Arabidopsis thaliana: one gene and its partners. The protein of the gene in region 3 interacts with the protein of the main gene of each other region in a pairwise test. Each region holds a gene or a part of one and is shown on either strand. Other genes may lie near its edges. The genes, in order: LBD40, AGL86, NF-YA8 and AGL23.

The links.
Region 1: the proteins of NF-YA8 (region 3) and LBD40 interact in a two-hybrid assay, tested with the Arabidopsis thaliana proteins (one large-scale study listed by BioGRID).
Region 2: the proteins of NF-YA8 (region 3) and AGL86 interact in a two-hybrid assay, tested with the Arabidopsis thaliana proteins (one large-scale study listed by BioGRID).
Region 4: the proteins of NF-YA8 (region 3) and AGL23 interact in a two-hybrid assay, tested with the Arabidopsis thaliana proteins (one large-scale study listed by BioGRID).

What each region holds. Positions count from the first base shown.
Region 1 is NC_003070.9:25,051,787-25,056,036, reverse strand, and holds LBD40 (LOB domain-containing protein 40), read right to left. Parts: upstream 2,365-4,250; 5' UTR 2,237-2,364; coding exon 2,047-2,236; intron 1,890-2,046; coding exon 1,378-1,889; 3' UTR 1,173-1,377; downstream 1-1,172.
Region 2 is NC_003070.9:11,317,608-11,322,022, forward strand, and holds AGL86 (AGAMOUS-like 86), read right to left. Parts: upstream 1,941-4,415; coding exon 921-1,940; downstream 1-920. Other genes in the region: AT1G31620 (uncharacterized protein), read left to right, coding at 210-287. UniProt on the Arabidopsis thaliana protein: Probable transcription factor.
Region 3 is NC_003070.9:6,049,400-6,054,905, reverse strand, and holds NF-YA8 (nuclear factor Y, subunit A8), read left to right. Parts: upstream 1-2,277; 5' UTR 2,278-2,502; exon of another isoform or gene 2,503-2,853; 5' UTR 2,854-2,921; coding exon 2,922-3,204; intron 3,205-3,354; coding exon 3,355-3,455; intron 3,456-3,536; coding exon 3,537-3,611; intron 3,612-3,818; coding exon 3,819-3,974; intron 3,975-4,053; coding exon 4,054-4,425; 3' UTR 4,426-4,742; downstream 4,743-5,506. Other genes in the region: AT1G17600 (Disease resistance protein (TIR-NBS-LRR class) family), read left to right, coding at 99-401, 526-1,617, 1,692-1,880. UniProt on the Arabidopsis thaliana protein: Stimulates the transcription of various genes by recognizing and binding to a CCAAT motif in promoters.
Region 4 is NC_003070.9:24,278,938-24,283,156, reverse strand, and holds AGL23 (AGAMOUS-like 23), read right to left. Parts: upstream 1,821-4,219; coding exon 1,509-1,820; intron 1,375-1,508; coding exon 1,006-1,374; 3' UTR 924-1,005; downstream 1-923. UniProt on the Arabidopsis thaliana protein: Probable transcription factor that controls female gametophyte (megagametogenesis) development and chloroplast biogenesis during embryo development.

The DNA of each region.
Region 1 (4,250 bases), about 19 Mb from region 3:
TTTAAAATTTTGCTCAGAAAAGCATATATTGCATGTAACCATGGGTTTTTTTAATGACTAAATTTTACATTCATACAAAAAAAAAAAAAAAAAAAGTACCATCAAATTAGAAATATGAATTAATAATCGTAAAATATGCATGGACGTTCACCGTATATGAACGTATTATATTCTGTATTGATATCCTTTAACCAAAAAAATCATTCTGTATTGATAAATGTTGGTTCTACTTCTACACTTTCTCTCTACATCATCTTCATTTTTAATATTGAAAGAAGAAAGAGACAAATCGATCATTTTGCCGAAAAAATATATATTAATTAGTTTCTCTAGATTTAACGGAAAAACAAAAGTTTGAATGATTTTTATACTTTGGCAATTAACGGAAAAACAAAAGTATAAAATGCAGTTTAATATATATTTTATCCGTTAACCGAAAAAATATATATTAATTAATGATTTAACTTTGGCAAACTGCATTTTACTGAATAGCTTTACAATTAAAACAGACTCACCATACAAATAATTTTACATATATTATTGATTTTTTTGGCTTATAATACTTTTAGTTTCTGAAATCAAAATTTATGGAAACAAAAGTATCTTCTTATTTATCAAAAAGTAAGTCACAACAGCCCAAAATATCTGTAGGCTAGAAACTGCATTAATTATTTTAGCATATCTGATAGTATGAGAATTGAGTGTATAGGGGGGGAAGATAGATGGACAAAACAGGATTCAAGTCCGAAAGAGTTGGGCTATGTTTTCTGCTGAATACACATTTCGACCCAATTAGTTAAAATAATTCATCCTTTTCGTTTTCTCTAGCTAATTAAGTTCCTACACATATCCTTCGAGAACAAAAATCTAACACACATGCATGTTAGCTGCTGAGTCATTTGGTAACACGGTTCACATACAAAAGGGCTTTTTGAGACAAAATATTTATAAATGAATGACTAATCATCATATGGAGATTTCATCATTAAGCAACTTAGATTCTTTGTAATCTAACCCCAGATATTTCTGAAATAGAAGATTTGTTAAGTTTTTTTTTATATAAATAAAATACAAAATTTATTGGGATAAACGTGTTTACATCAATTGCATCGTTTGTTTAAGTACATGAGTAAAATCAAGAATTTAGAATGGAAAGAAGAAATGTTTGTTATGTCGATCCGAACCAAGATTTGTTAAGTTAAGACCTCTTTATCATTCATCATACATATTTATGAAGAACACCGAACATGCAAAAGAAAACAAAACAAAACATAAAACTCAAAAAGAGAAAAAAGAGAGATTCGTTAATCTCTATTTGTACACCTAAAACTCAACACCAAAACTTGTAATTAAGACCAGCCACAAAAAAAGAACCATTCACTCACTGCACACCAGTCCAAGCTCAATCTTACACGTGTCCTCATCCTCAGACGTGCCACACCTCTCTAACTTTCTTTTCTTCATCGGTACCACCACGTGATTTCCACGTGCTAAAGGCTCCAACCCCAAAGTCAGCTCAAGCCCGATCCAAGTCTTTGGTTCCTCCGTCGTCGTCTCCTCAGAAGACACCGGTGACTCGTGACTCAGTGACGACTCATGACTCAAAGACCTCACGTTTCTCTCTTCCTTGCATGCACCACGGCTCCGTCTCTTAACGTTCTCGTCCCTGCTTGACACGTGTCTTATGTCGCAAAGCTTGTTGTTAAAAGGAGGTGCTTGACCAGTAACCGCTGCGTCGCATGCGATCGGAGTCACGGGTGAGCCTCTCATTACTGCCTCAACGGCCGCTTGACAAAGATGCCAGTTTCCTGACCACAATAACCCCACGGATCCGTATATCGGATTCACAATCCTCCCGCATGCTTCGTACAACAATGATCTAAATATCGCTGCAAAAACAAACAAAATTACCAAATTATTAGATGCATGTTAGAAAAATAAACAGGATCCTACGTTTCCTAAAAAGATGTATGAGAGATTCCGTCCAGAACTTCGCAATTAACCATAACAAACAAAAAACATAACATGCATGGGAAGTTTGAATACCAGGACGGAGGTGGTCAGGACCGGTGTTGAGGAGGTTCATGAGCCCCGCACGGCCATAAAACTTGGCGAGGAAGACGGTGGCGTTGGCTTGAGATTCAGCGGATTTGATCCATTGAAGACAAGGTCTTATGCTACAGTTTTCACTGCAGCCTTTTCGTAGAACTCGACATCCGTTACAACTCATACGCATTTTAGATGGGAAACAAAAAACAAAATGTGTTTTGGGTTTGAGGGAAAGTACAGAATGGTCCAGAGATCTTAGAAGAAGGAAGAGGTATTTAAGAGGGAGAAGCTGCTTGGGTTTGGTCGGAGAGATCATAACAATTAACAAGGAACGAAGTTGTCGTTTTCTTTGTGTGTAATTTTTTTCAAAAAATAAATAAATTTGTGACGTGCATGTTATATTTTTCTCTAAATGGATATCGTAATTTTCAAAGTATAAATAAGATGTAAAGAGCCCAAAAAAGAAGAGTTTTGTAATTGTTTTTATATTTTGTATGAATTATTTTAGTAAATTACGAGAATATTACCTTTATTTAGGTAAGTAATTTTTTCAAACTGTTATTATGTGTTTATAAAAATAAACAAAGCTTCTCATACTATTTGTATAGTTATAAAATTTTAAAATCTTTAATTTTCATGGTTTATACATTTTGTTTGTTTGTTTGTAGTTACTAATAATATATATTTTTTTTTTTGGGGAAAATAGTTACTAATAAATATGAAATATATATGGAAGCCCGTTGAGCTTTGTCTTTGGCTCTCATTCGTAGCGCGTGATCATCATCGACGAAAATGTCCAAAACCAGTCAAGTATTTTATTTTTTTGGTTAGTTGTTTATATCTGACCGCCGTTTGTTTTTGTCTAGACCGCAGTTTAATGTTCGGCAATTAATAATGGACTGCCAAAATATTTGGAGATAGTAAATTTTGAAAACGAAATTACTAGAGGGTAAAATGGTAAATAGAGAGATGAGAGGTTCGAATTTCAACGTTCGCATGCAAGCGCAAAAGTGTGATCGCGTGGCGGAGACATTGTGGTAACAGAGTTTGGTCGAATCGCCGCGTTTTCTGAGCGGTTACACATTATGTAGCTCCATACATAATTCTGATAATTAATATTAATATCCAAATACCTACTTAATAAATTATCTTAATGGAATCACTTTGACTTCTATAGGCTCTAGTATATATCAACATTAATATCGAAAGACCTACTAATAAATTATCTGCATGGATCACTTTGACTAATATAGGCTCTACAATTTTTACTTTTAGGTGAATAGATGCCAACGTTTATTGGTTAGATTTGGTAGTTTCTTCCATTGAAACACCCATCATTGAATGGTGATGTTTGAATTATTTCTATTACTTCTTTAATAAAATAAAGAAAAAAACGCACACACAATCTATTAATTATTATTAAGGTTTAGAAACAGTTAAAAATTAAAATTATAGAAAATATATAAATATCTATCAAAAATGTTAAAAATGTCAAATCGCAAACAAAGTTTAGATAAAATATTTATTTAAGTATATCAAACATTATATAAACATTTATAATTATTTATATAAAGATAAAACTTAGTTAAAAACTAGAAAAATACAGTAAAACAAAATATATATAATTTTAACGGATAAAACGATTTATTTTTTCTTCTGCCGGCTATCACACGATTAATACGATTGTCTCCACTTTAACTAATAATATAATCATGCGAACAATCATAACTATAGCTAGTAGACTCTATAGAGTCAATTTTTCTGAAAGACCAGTTACAGACGAATGTGAAAGCTATATATGCTATATGATATATACTAGTATGAAATAAATTTGTTGTCGTTTCAGGTAATTTAGAAGACCTGTATAAAGTTGTACAATAATTTTCTATATCAAATAACTTAACATATTGTAAGATAAACAATAAGTCAATAACCTAATTCCTATATGTATATATATTATGTTTTTGAAAAATTCAAATGGTATATATACATGTTTAGATAGACGTATGGATAAATACAGTTTCAACCAAATTATCATATTGCTATAGAAGTGATTGACAAACAGATATGATAATTCATTAAAATAAAAATGCATAGGTAAGAGGTAGAAAAATAGATGCATACAAAATATAAGCATACGAATAAAATTTTTTGTCGTCTTTCTTATTGTCGTCTTATAATAAACAAATAAATACAAATTC
Region 2 (4,415 bases), 5.3 Mb from region 3:
GTCGAGAAACATGAATGGTCAAAGCAAACATGTGTGTTTCCCTCCTCTTTTTGGGATGATGTTGAGTGTGCTAAAATGTCATTTCCAGACACCAACAAGGCTGGTGAGATCATTATTGCCCCAAAGAGGTTGTCACTCAATTTTCGACCCTTCTACATTTTCTACTACAATGTTGAAACAAAAAACATAAGAAGAGTTAAAGCTCCTAGGATTTGGAGACAGTGAAGAGTTTAGGCGCTCTTATGGATTCGAAAGAACCTCCGGCTCCCGTGAATCTCTTGTTCTGATCGCACATAACCACACGTCCAGAGTGTTGGCTTTTTTAAGGATCCTAGAATTAATTTAACTTGATTCGTAGGATCCTAATGTAAGAGATAACTGAAAACTTGCCTTTTATTTTAGTTTCATTATTTTATCATGTTGATTTTTCAAATTTTCAACACTAAACAAGCTACAGTTTGTATTGTTAATCTTTTGGGTTTGCTGAGACGTGTGTTCATTATTTATGTTCATGTTTTTACTTCTTTAGTGTGTTCATTTGCTCGCTATATAGGTAGGTGTGGGAAGTAAATAAATTATGGATTGAGAAAGAGATATACAGAGTATTGATGTTTTTGCGAATAATATATCCAAAGTAAGATTTTCTATGAAACAAAATATATTTGATTTTAGCAGATCTATTTAGTTATGTATTTTAAGAACAAAAAACAAAGTAAAAACAAATTTATGACCAAACTTCTTCAAATATAATTGAAATATCCGGCTCTACGGCGCAGAAATACATTACCCAATACATAAAAATATAACTGACTTAAAGGTAAAACCTTCAACTCTTACAACAATTAACTGAAAAGAAAAGACATTATTAGAGATTGGTCTTTTGAAATGGACAAAACACAAATGCAAACTACTGAAACACATCACACAACGGTGGTGTTGGTGGTGGTGGTGGTGGTGGCGTTGTTGGAAGGCATGTGACCGGTGGTAGTAAGACCAACGGTTGGTGGTTGGTGGTAGTTGTAGTAGTTTCCGTTCATGAAAGGGATGTGTGCATGCTCTGCAGCATAACCCACTTGTTCATAAGGATATTCCATCAACATCTCCATGAATGGATCATCTTGAAACGGATACTGATGATTTGGATCCAAACTGAGATTATCATAGATTCCATGTTGGATCTGATGATTAAAATCCACAGGAGCTTGGTATTGAATATTATCACTAAAAGCAGTAGGGATATAGGGCTGAATCGGCTCATACTGATTCTGAGCCATAGGAGGACCGGCACCCGCAACAGCAAGAGGAGCCGCACCCACACCCGCAACAGCAAGAGGACTCGCACCCGCCCCCGCAACAGCAAGAGGAGCCGCACCCGCACCCGCAACAACAAGAGGAGCAGCACCCGCACCCGCACCCGCACCCGCAACTGAAGTATGAAGCGGAGGAGGAAAGGAAGAAGAAGACGCACCATTGTTTGTAAGGAGCATGACACTTGAATTAAGCTGATTGATATAGTGATCAATATAAAGACTTAAATCTTGAAGGTCCCTTGCACCATACTGATGCTCACTCATCTTACCTTCAACACAATCAAACATAAATTGCCTAAGCTGAGATTCTCGGTTTTCACGACGTAGACTCTCCAGTTTCTTTGTTTCTTTGGTAATTTTGTCCTGCAAGTAGGTCTCATGACTCATCATCAGCTTGGATTGTTCTGTCGCCGGCCTCTCCATAAACATGGAAACCGCCTCTTGAACACCTTCGGTTGACGGCCACACCACTGGATTCTCGTACGGACTGGAGATTACCGCACATGCTTTGACGCCGCAGAGAGTTGTTAGCTCATGGAGTTTGTTCGTTATCCCTCCCTTCCTCTTCCTGAATGTGGTTCTCCTTGAGGTCTTATTAGCTATGAGTGATAACTTAATTTTCGACCTCATTATCTTTGTTTTTCTTTTCTTTGGTGTGTGTTTTGTTTACTTTCTTGGCCCAAGACTGTCTTGTTTATATAGAAATGAAAATTGTGCTTTTACACAGTACGTGGCTTTTCACGTTGCTGGACTCATTAGATTTGTTTTGTGTTTACTGTCTCATTAATTGACGAGGCCACTAATTAAAGCTATGTCTAAGAATAGATTTTCTTTTCTTTTTACTAAGAATAGTTTATCTTCCTATATTACTCTCACTTTTCTTTTAAGAGTAATTTAAAGTTTTGTTTATAAACTATGAAATTTAGTAATAGTTTGAAGTGTTTTTTTTTCTTCTTTTTAAATAGAGTACTCCATCTTCAATTTACATGTAAAATCATGAATATATACAAGCTCAAAAGAGTTGTTTATTTATAGAAAAAAAATGAAAACAATATAACGTGAGTCTTACGAAATATTTAGAAAGCACGAAAGTTTTTGAAAACAATGTAACATGAATCTCACGAAATATGTGTTCTATTTCTAAGAAAATCTTTAAACTACCTATATACATTAAAGGAGAACATACCAAGAAGTTTGTAAACCAATATAATAAGATAATAAAATATCATTAAAATTTATATTAATTAATTTAGTAAAAATATTTGATACTTACAATAATAACAAATGAAAATATATAATAGTAGAGTATTAGAGAAAAATATATTTTTTTAAATCTCAGATTTGGTTATATGAACTTTTTTAATAAATATATTAAAAGAACATTTGTCATGGCCTGCAGGTCCACCTGATTTTTTTTAATCATTAAGTTGATTCTAATTAAAAGGAAATTTGGATAAAATAACTGTTTTATACATTAATAGATGGATTTCTTTCCTCTTTTGGCTCAGTAATAAATTAGTTTAGAGATAATTTGTTAAATCATGCATATATTATACCTTTTGGAGAATACTTTTTCTTTTATTGGGTTAGAATATTTCATTGCATTGCCAGCTAATTATAAGCTGTAAATAGGGAAATTAAAGATTTTAGACTACGTATAGAAAACTTCCAGTTGTTTTTACATACCCAAAGAAATATCTAAACTTTAAAGTATTAATATTTAAATATAGTTTAATTATATATTAATTTTTGGTTTAAAAGCAAAAAATGAACCAATTAAAAAAAGACAAGTGTAATATACCCAAAGTTCAAGTTAATATACCAAAAGTTCTTATTTAAGAACCTTTCTCTTATTTCTCTCATACTTTTTTTGTGTGGTATGATTATAATGAGAGAGAATCCAAAAAAAATGGAGGTCTAACAATAACCAAAAAATAAGAAAAACAAGAATGCACATCGTTAATTAGACTTTGTTTGACTGGTTCTCTTCTTATCAATTACATTTACAAAATGTAGAAATTTCTCTAAAATAAATAGCATATTTATTGATTTTTGATTAAATGTTTTCAAATAGTTATAAAAATACTATAGAGTAGAAGATATTACATGAGAGAATGGTAAATAATTCAATCCAGTAGTAGTTTAATTTCCATTCTCTTTAAATGCTAAATTTTATTTCAAGCTCACCGTATATTTTTGGCTCAGATAATAAATAACTTTCATCTGCCATAAAACACTAATTTTCATGTTTATTTATATGTTTAGTTAGGGGCGACTTAAGCTACTTATAGTTATAGGTCATGTTCAAAAGTTTAACTATAGATATCTTAAATAAGGTCCATATATATACATAAGAACTTTTTTTGGTAATCACGATCCGTTTAATCTATGTATTTAATTTACACATACTAAAACAATTCAAGGTATAGTCGATCTTATCTGAACGTTGTAGTAAGCATAACTGGTCACCAAAAATATGTTCTTAGTTGAAGTACACACTTGAATCCAACCCAAAAAACCTCGTCAGTGTTGGGATGATACACGAAGTGAAGCCTATAGTTGAAATAGAACGCTAGGAAGCCATTTTTCTAAAAAAAAATCTTAATGAATACTTAGTAGGTGATAGGTACAGATAGAGATACATTAAGGCTTGTGTTAATTTCAAATTACCTTAGGCCCATAATATATGCATATCCTAAAATATACCTTATTTTCTTAATATCTCAGCTTTTTATTTAAAATTTTCAGAAGAGCCAAATCAATTTAACCATATTCAATCTTAATACAGTCTTTAAAACGGTTTTTAAAGGAGAAGCTTCAGGTGGCACGCATCGAACTAGGAAGACCCTCTAAATCAAGGAGAAGTATCAGAAGGCACTTTACTTAAACACCACAGTCTACTGCTTCTACTTGGAGTTGTATTCACTGAATTACCTGCCTTAGCAACTGCAAACAAAAAATAGAAAACCAGTCTCTGTCCCATCGGAGAGGCCTTACACGGGACCAAAGCAAAGGCCTTTGGGGTGCTCTTTAGGGTCACATGAGCTAAGGATGCTACTCGGTGGTGCAAGGGAGTTATAACTCTTTCAAGATTTCTCCCATTCT
Region 3 (5,506 bases):
AAGCATCTATATCATCTTTGATCTATTCTTTTAAATTTTCATGCATCCTGACCTGACGAGTTTCTGGCTTTGTGTTTCTTTTGTCTTCTTATCATCAGGGAGGAGAACAAACTGAATGCATGTGCCTACACACGTGTGATATGACCTGTGTGTTATCCATGGAGGCCAGTGTTGTTGGCCGTATGCATAATCTCAAGTTTCTCAAGGTTTACAAGCATGTAGATTACAGAGAGTCGAATCTGCAACTCATTCCAGACCAACCGTTCCTGCCTCGTAGCCTACGGCTATTCCATTGGGATGCATTTCCATTGAGAGCCCTGCCTTCCGGTTCTGATCCATGTTTTCTTGTTGAACTCAATCTGCGTCACAGTGATTTAGAAACTCTCTGGAGTGGAACACCGGTAATCTTTTCTATGATTCTGCATCTTGTGTTTGTGTTTTTGATAGAGCAATGGTGTGAAAACAGAGAATCCTTGCGAGAAACATAATTCCAACTATTTCCATGTGTTGTTGTATCTTGCTCAGATGTTGAAGAGTTTGAAGAGACTAGATGTGACGGGATCTAAGCATCTCAAGCAACTTCCAGATCTTTCAAGTATCACGAGTCTTGAGGAATTGCTTCTGGAACAATGCACGAGACTGGAGGGCATTCCAGAGTGTATTGGAAAAAGGTCTACCTTAAAGAAGCTTAAGCTATCCTACCGTGGAGGGCGTAGAAGTGCCCTGCGGTTTTTTCTACGAAAATCTACAAGGCAGCAACATATTGGATTGGAGTTCCCAGACGCAAAAGTGAAAATGGATGCACTTATAAACATATCGATTGGGGGAGACATTACTTTTGAGTTTCGTTCAAAATTTAGAGGATATGCTGAATACGTCTCTTTTAATTCTGAGCAACAGATACCCATTATATCGGCGATGAGTCTGCAACAAGCACCTTGGGTCATCTCAGAGTGCAACAGATTCAATTCCCTCCGCATCATGAGGTTCAGCCACAAAGAAAACGGTGAATCTTTCTCCTTTGACGTCTTTCCAGATTTTCCCGACCTGAAAGAGCTAAAACTAGTGAACTTAAACATCAGGAAAATCCCATCTGGGATTTGTCACCTGGATTTACTAGAGAAGCTGGACCTCAGCGGAAATGATTTTGAGAACTTACCAGAAGCTATGAGTAGCCTTTCCCGGTTAAAAACTCTCTGGCTTCAAAACTGCTTTAAGCTCCAGGAGTTGCCAAAGCTAACTCAGGTGCAGACACTTACACTTACCAACTGTAGGAACCTTAGATCATTGGCGAAACTATCTAACACAAGTCAAGATGAGGGAAGATACTGTTTGCTTGAGCTTTGCCTTGAAAATTGCAAGAGTGTTGAATCATTGTCAGATCAGCTTAGTCATTTCACCAAGTTGACATGTTTAGATCTCAGCAACCATGATTTTGAGACATTGCCATCAAGCATCAGAGATCTTACCTCATTGGTAACACTTTGCCTCAATAACTGCAAGAAACTCAAATCGGTGGAAAAACTTCCCTTGTCTCTCCAATTTCTCGATGCACACGGCTGTGATTCTCTCGAAGCTGGTTCTGCAGAACATTTTGAGGACATACCAAACAAGGAGGTGAATACTTGGCTCTTGATCCGTCTCTACTATGATTGATGTAGTTACCCTTTATCATCTCCCTTCTTTTATAGGCACATACACGAAATGACTACTTCCAAGAAACTGAGATGTCGAGTTATGTACTGAAAACTCAAGCCACAAGAAATCGCCAAACCATCCGCCTTCCCAAGATCACACATGCGGTTATGTATGTAGGCATCCCTATCTGCATCACGCTAGTGGCTGCTCTTGTGATTTTACTCCTGCGTGTTTTCAAGTGAAACTCAAGACTCAGCAACAGCTTCCTCAAGACTTAAACTGTGTGCTTTCTTCTGTAATTTACCAGGTAGTAACAAACTTACTACATTTCAAGTCTCCCTTGCTTCTGCTTCTCTCTCTCTTTTCCACTCGCATTTTGGAACTGAGTTCCACTATATCCAAAGAACGCTTCAAGATTTTGTCCATAAACACAAAGAGTAGGCAGATTAGCTTTGCTTTAGATGCTTCAGCTGCCATATAGTTGCTCACTAGATTAGGCTTTTGACGATAGTTTTACTTTGTAAAGTGGATAGGCAGATAACTAGATAAGTGTTTACTTTGTTAAGTGAACAAAATAATAAGTCAATAAGATTAGAAAACTAATATATTAATTAAGCATTAAAAATACTAATGAAGGTGGCGGTACTGCTAATAATGGAGCTGGTGATTTTGTTGGAAAGGTAATGACTTTATAAGAGAGAAAATTGTGAGTGACGGAAATGAAGCATCAAAAGAATACACACACACACATACACACTGTTGAGTATCTATCTGAGAGAATAAGCAAAAGAGAAAAGAGATTTACTTTGTTTTGATAGGCATCCCTTGAGTTCCTGTTCTTCATCTCTTCCTTGAATCCGTAAGGTCTCTCTATCTCCTTCTCTTTGAATCCGTCATTTCTTCGCTTTTTTTTAGAGTGATGTGCTGATTCGGAAATCTTCTGGAAATTTCTTCCCAAGTCAACGCCTTTTAGGACGAAAGTAATGGTGCTGATTTTAGTTGGTCGGAACTTTACTTTTTTTTCTGCCGCGCTCTTCTAATAGTTTGCCCGAAATAGTTCTGAATGTTGCTCTGTTTCTGGGTTTTTTTCCCTTTTTGGATTATCCCCTTCTTTGTCTACTACATCGTCAAAGGTTTTGCTGTTTCCAGGAATAAATATCTTTTGAAAGTTTTATCATTTATAAAGATGTTCTGAATTTGGAGCTTCTTTGACAGACACATGTATCATCAATCTTCTCTGTTGAAGCAGAGAGAGAGAGAGCTAATTGTTGCCTCTGAGTCACATGGATAAGAAAGTTTCATTTACTAGCTCTGTGGCACATTCAACTCCACCATACCTTAGTACTTCCATCTCATGGGGACTTCCAACCAAATCCAATGGTGTGACTGAATCACTGAGTTTGAAGGTGGTAGATGCAAGACCAGAACGTCTTATAAACACAAAGAATATCAGTTTCCAGGACCAGGATTCATCTTCAACTCTGTCCTCTGCTCAATCTTCTAACGATGTTACAAGTAGTGGAGATGATAACCCCTCAAGACAAATCTCATTTTTAGCACATTCAGGTCCGTTTTAAACAACTTTGGGTTCTAGACAACTCACTATGATCTATTATGTTGAAGACGCATGGTGTTTTAGCTTGATCTTTGGTCCCATTTACGAAAGAATCCATCCCTTTGTCCTGAAAATGTTATCTTTCGCTCTCTTTCTTTCAGATGTTTGTAAAGGATTTGAAGAAACTCAAAGGAAGCGATTTGCAATTAAATCAGGCTCCTCCACGGCAGGAATCGCTGATATTCACTCTTCTCCTTCCAAGGTACCCGTATATCTACTACGAGTGACGATAAGCAGTACTTGTGATTGTTTACTGACATCTTGTGTTATACTCTGGTTTCAGGCTAACTTCTCATTTCACTATGCCGATCCACATTTTGGTGGTTTAATGCCTGCGGCTTACCTACCACAGGCAACAGTAAGTATATCCTCCTTGATTACATATGGTGAGGAGAATATTTATGCTAAACCTCATTTTTACTTAAGGTGGACTTGTTATGTAACATTATGCTCTGAAGTAGTTACATATACAGCTATAGAAAGAAATGCCATCCTTAAATGGTGAATTAGTCTTGCAATTTATTTCTCCATTTGAGATTTCAGTTTGCTTAAAAACTTTCTGCAGATATGGAATCCCCAAATGACTCGAGTTCCGCTACCATTCGATCTCATAGAGAATGAGCCTGTCTTTGTCAATGCAAAGCAATTCCATGCAATTATGAGGAGGAGGCAACAGCGTGCTAAGCTAGAGGCGCAAAACAAACTAATCAAAGCCCGTAAGGTATAGTATTTTGGTCAGCGTTTCGGTATCTTACTTTGGTTTAATGACTAAACATAACTCATTATCAAATATCATACAGCCGTATCTTCATGAATCTCGACATGTTCACGCTCTTAAACGACCTAGAGGATCTGGTGGAAGATTCCTAAACACCAAAAAGCTTCAAGAATCTACAGATCCAAAACAAGACATGCCAATCCAACAGCAACACGCAACGGGAAACATGTCAAGATTTGTGCTTTATCAGTTGCAGAACAGCAATGACTGTGATTGTTCAACCACTTCTCGCTCTGACATCACATCTGCTTCTGACAGCGTTAATCTCTTTGGACACTCTGAATTTCTGATATCAGATTGCCCATCTCAGACAAACCCAACAATGTATGTTCATGGTCAATCAAATGACATGCATGGAGGTAGGAACACACACCATTTCTCTGTCCATATCTGAGCCGGTGGAATCTGGTAATGTGTACGTTCCTACAAAAAAAGGGAAGTCATCCTTGGCTGCTACTTCGCTTATTAGCTAGTTCTTATTTCACACGCTTTGTCCAGATATCATTTGAATGACCAAAAACCTTCAAGCTTCAACTCTTTACTTTTCGTCTGTCGTTTGTACCATGGATCATCGTGTGTTAAGTCAGTGATTGGATTGGAGTGATGAATGTAAATGTAAATCTGATAACCGATAAGTCTCTGCTCTTTGCTTATTCATAGTTAGTAAAGCTAAACCAGATTCATACACTCCATTCCGGTGTTGTTTATATCATATATCATAGTCATAGAACACATTGACTAGAAGCGCAGCTTGGTCCCAATCCTCTGTAACAAGCCGTCCAACCACCTTCCCCGACCAAGTTTCTAACCGTCTGTAGATAGTCAGACTGCAGTTCCTATCGTTACTACTACTACTATTACTATCTTCCACATTTAGAACCTGCAGTCTAGTCTTTAATTATGTCACTGTAATCAAAGCGGAGACACTACCAGCAATGGCGGCAGTAACACCTTGAACAAATGTTCCCTAAACGCTTTTCTGTCTGAGTACCCCCGAGTTACAATCACTAGCAGTGTATTTATACACAAAGGGAATATCTCTTAACACAGATATGTTTCCAAAAACATACAAACATAACTAAAGACTAGACTGTAAAGGATGACGGGAAATTGCAATGTTTCTTTTGCAACACGTTTTCACCACGTGTCGATGTTGTTGACACATTAACTAACGCAAGAGTTATCCTTCTTTTGATCTTTTCCTTGATGTAATACTTTGGGCTTCAATTTTGGGCTTCAACTTTGGCCTTGTAAACTTGTTTGGATCAGTCAATAAAGAACAATAGTGACAAAAAAAAAAACTAATAATTTGAAAAATGATAAACAAAGTAAAATTCATTAAGCAAATGGCCTATCAACGCATGGACACAACAAATATTTAGTTCACATATATATATTTTTTCCTACCCAATATACCCCTATTAATAGTAGAACAGTACCAGAAAGCCACTGGCAAAGATAGGCATATGTACTAA
Region 4 (4,219 bases), about 18 Mb from region 3:
TGGGGGTTTATTGTTGCAACAACAATTGACTTCAACAGAAGGCAATGTCGAGAAGACAAGAGTGTTCAGCTCGAGTGAGTTAGAGAAAGCCACTGAAAACTTCAGCCTAAATAGAATACTTGGTCAGGGTGGTCAAGGTACTGTGTACAAGGGAATGCTTGTCGATGCTAGAATTGTAGCAGTAAAGAAACCCAAAGTTGTGGACGCAGACAAGCTAGAAGAGTTCATCAATGAGGTTGTAATTCTTTCGCAGATTAACCATAGAATCGTGAAAATCTTAGGTTGTTTCCGTAATGAGACAAATGTCCTTCTTCTCGTCTACGAGTTTATTCCCAATGGCAACCTTTTCGAGCATCTTCACGATAAGCTGATGATTTCACGATGATTACTTGGGATGTACGTCTCCGCATAGCAGTGGATATTGCATGAGCTCTTTCATACTTGCTCTCGGCTGAATCATCTCCAATCTATCACAGAGACGTCAAGTCTACAAACATCATGTTAGATGAGAAATATCGAGCCAAAGTTTCGCGATGGGATATATGGATCCTGAGTACTTTCAGTCTAGCCAATTCACAGCAAAGAGTGATGTCTATAGCTTTGTGGTTGTGCTGGCTGAGTTAATATAGCATATCAAAGTTGTAAATTACTAGACTTATATAGATCTTTGGGAAATTACTAGAATATTAACTATGCCTCAAAAATATATAGTTCCATATACACAATAAACATATAAGATCACAGTAATGAAAATATTATAAAACTTCATATAGCTTTATTCATGTTCCACCAAAAAACATCGAAAGCTACAAGACACAAAGAACAACGAAAAGAAACAACAAGCCAATTGACTCAAGACTTAATTAAAAGACATACGACACCAACAATTAAAAAAAAAAAAAAAAAAAAAAAAAAAAAGACACAACAAACTATTGGAGACTTAAAAAGTCAACAACGAGAGAGATGAACTTATAGTACCAAGACCCATAATGAGGATAGACTTATTTAAACTCCTGGTGTGCGATTCATAATATCAAATCCAAACAGAAGTGTTTGAGTAGGATTAGTCGTCATTCCGTTTTGATCAAAGAACCCCTGGTTTGTGGAGATATTACCACCACTAACAGTTGCTGGAGCAGCAGCATTGCTAGAACTTCCAACATAGAAGTTTGGGTTTGTTTGATGGATTAATTGAATTGCTTTTTCATCAACTATCTTCTTCAAATCTTTAAGAACACGTATCATACAGGTTGATTGACTTAAGTTGAGTTCTAATGGAGACTTACTCCACCACTCCTCAGCGTTTTCGTTTTCTCTTTCATTTTGAGCCCGCGACTGCTTATTCTTTTGTTCTTTTTCTACTTCCGCCTTCACCTACGAATAAATCCACGAATAATGAATTTGTTAAGAATATCCATGAATTGTGAAACATTTATATAATATTCAATATCAAAATCGAAAAATAAGAGAGAAACAAATATTAGATATTGCCAACAATTGACATTTACCTCAGTGTAGGATTTGTTGAGCATTTGAACATGAAGCTTTGTGTAGCTTTCATCAAGGTTTGTGTTGTTGTGTCCTACAACACACCCTCGAAAGTGGTCAAGCAGAACATCAACATTTGGATGACCAAAAGAAAATACTTTTCCAGCTGGTGAAAACACGATCATCGCAATTTTTGCATCACATAATGTGCAAAATTCACTAGCCTTCTTAAAAAGACCAGCTTTTCTCTTGGAAAATGTGACTTGAAGGTTTGATTCCTTAGTCATTTTCACTATCTCTACCTTTCTACGACCAAGAGTTTTTTTCACCATTTTTTAGATGTTTTGAAGAAAGAAAAATTGAATTGATTGTATTAAAGATAATATGTCTTTGTATTTATAGAAAAAAACATACAAAATTTGTTTAGAGTTTTAAATGTAAATATAATTTCCTATTTTATATATTAGAAATAAATTATAAATTACCATTTAAGGCTTAGATACAGATTTACAGATTTTGTCAATAAAAGGTATATAATTATTACAGTTTTATCTATAACATTATCATTTAGCTATTATATTTGTTACAGCCTGTCAAGTTATTAAAAATTTTGGGGATATCTTTCCTATTACAAACCTATCAAATATAGGTACCAATGATTGGTTAAAGGATTTTTTCCATTATTTTCTATAGTCAATATCCTTTTTAACCTTTTTTATTAATCAAACTAATCTTATAAAATAAAATAAATAATTATTAAGTGTTTAAGATTTATATAAAATTCATAATGCATTAATGAAATATTATGTCCAACTTCCTTTTATTATATAGAAAATTGAAAAATATAAATTTAAGTTTGATCGCCGACTTTCAAAGTTCTTATTGCATATTAAGTAATAGTTGTTTGATATTTTAACTGTGATCGCCGACTCTTCAAGTTTTTATTGTGAGATAAACATATATATATATATATATATATTTCACACATCTCTAAGATTGATTCCCCTTTCTAAGTTTTTATTTTTGGATGTTACAAAGAATCCAACTAAATTAGTTCCTTAATACTTTATGTCATCGCCGCCTTTTCAAGTATTTTGTATAAGATTAAAATTATCTAAATAAAAACAATTGTATAATAATTCATTATTAAAATTATTTTCAACTTTTTGTTGTAGTATTAAAAATATCTAAATTAAAAAAGTTGTCCAATAATTTATTTTTAATCGCCTGCTTTTGAATTTTTAGACTGCCGACTTTTGATGTAAAAATAATTAAATTATGTTTTATCTCCGAATTTTCAAATTTTTATTGTCATATTAAAAATATCTAAATAAATAAATGTATAACTCTCTTTTTAGATAAGGTTAAAAACTAGTTTATGTTATCTTTAAATATATTAATCCAATTTAAACATGACACATGACGACATCTTATGTTTTACTTTACAATCACATAAGGTAACAAATTTGAATGCCAAACATTATAACAATAATAAATTACCATTGTAGGAGTAAATTATATATTTTGACAATAAAAGTATATAATTGATTATACTAGAAATCGACTCACTCTAATACTATGCCATAGTATTTTAATTATTTTAAATGTTTATTTTATTTGGAGTTTTATAATTAAAATATATAAATAAATAAATAAAACTTGGATAATATTCTTAAATATTTTGTTATTGAAATTTCTTTACAACAATGTAAATTTTAACTATAATAAGTGGTGGCAATGTTAAATGTTAAGTGACAAAATTTGGAAAATAAGTTAGATATTTTATATTATTATAATGATTTCAAGAACTCATAAACATTTTGATGAATTGCAAGATTTGCTTGCTAAAGTAAACGCCAGAAAACATTGGGCAGATACCTATTTTTCTTTGATTGTATTGGTGGTGCATGTAAAATTGCTTTGTAAAGAACAAATCTCATATTTGTACTCGTTCCTATCTATGTATATCGGATATCAACGTTAAATTTTGCACTTTATCTTTTGCCTAAGTAGATGACTTTTCTCAAGAGTAGCCGAATTTCCTGTATAGTATCTGCATTTTCTTAAAGTGATTTCCTTACTTACAGCTAGAGACTACATTACCTTTATTTCTCCAGAAATTGCATTAACAAATTCTTGCCACCATGGGAATAGGTTATAAAAAGTAGTTTAGCAACAAAAGCCGTATACAATAGTGATATTGTGCCCTTCAAAGAAAATAAAAAAGAGAGTGGAGATAAGAACGACTTAAACAAAACGAAAAAAGGCTTTGGATATAAAGCATATATACACCAGTTTGTTAGTCAATTCACTTTCTCTTTATCCGTTTGTTTAGTTTGAGTATTGAAATATCAGTGACGTTACTAATGTTTCATTTAGAATGATCGCATAGACATAACAGAAGATCACATTTTGAAAATGAAAGTTACCTTTTAAGCTCACTCATGGTGAAGTGAAGGCAATGGAGATCAAGGTCTTTCTACAGTCTTGCAACTCCCCCAAACTGAGAAACCATCTTGAGTATAATTAACTTTTACCGAAATAATGATAGTGAATATGCATGGTTTAACTTAGGGACCTCAATATAAAGTGTAACTAATATCTATCTGATAATGAAAACTAAACTCTAAACACATACATGGAATTATCAAGCATGTTAAGCTACTATACACATCCGATAAATAACCAAGTGTGTAAAAACCACAGAGCAGCAATTGTCTCTGACCCCATA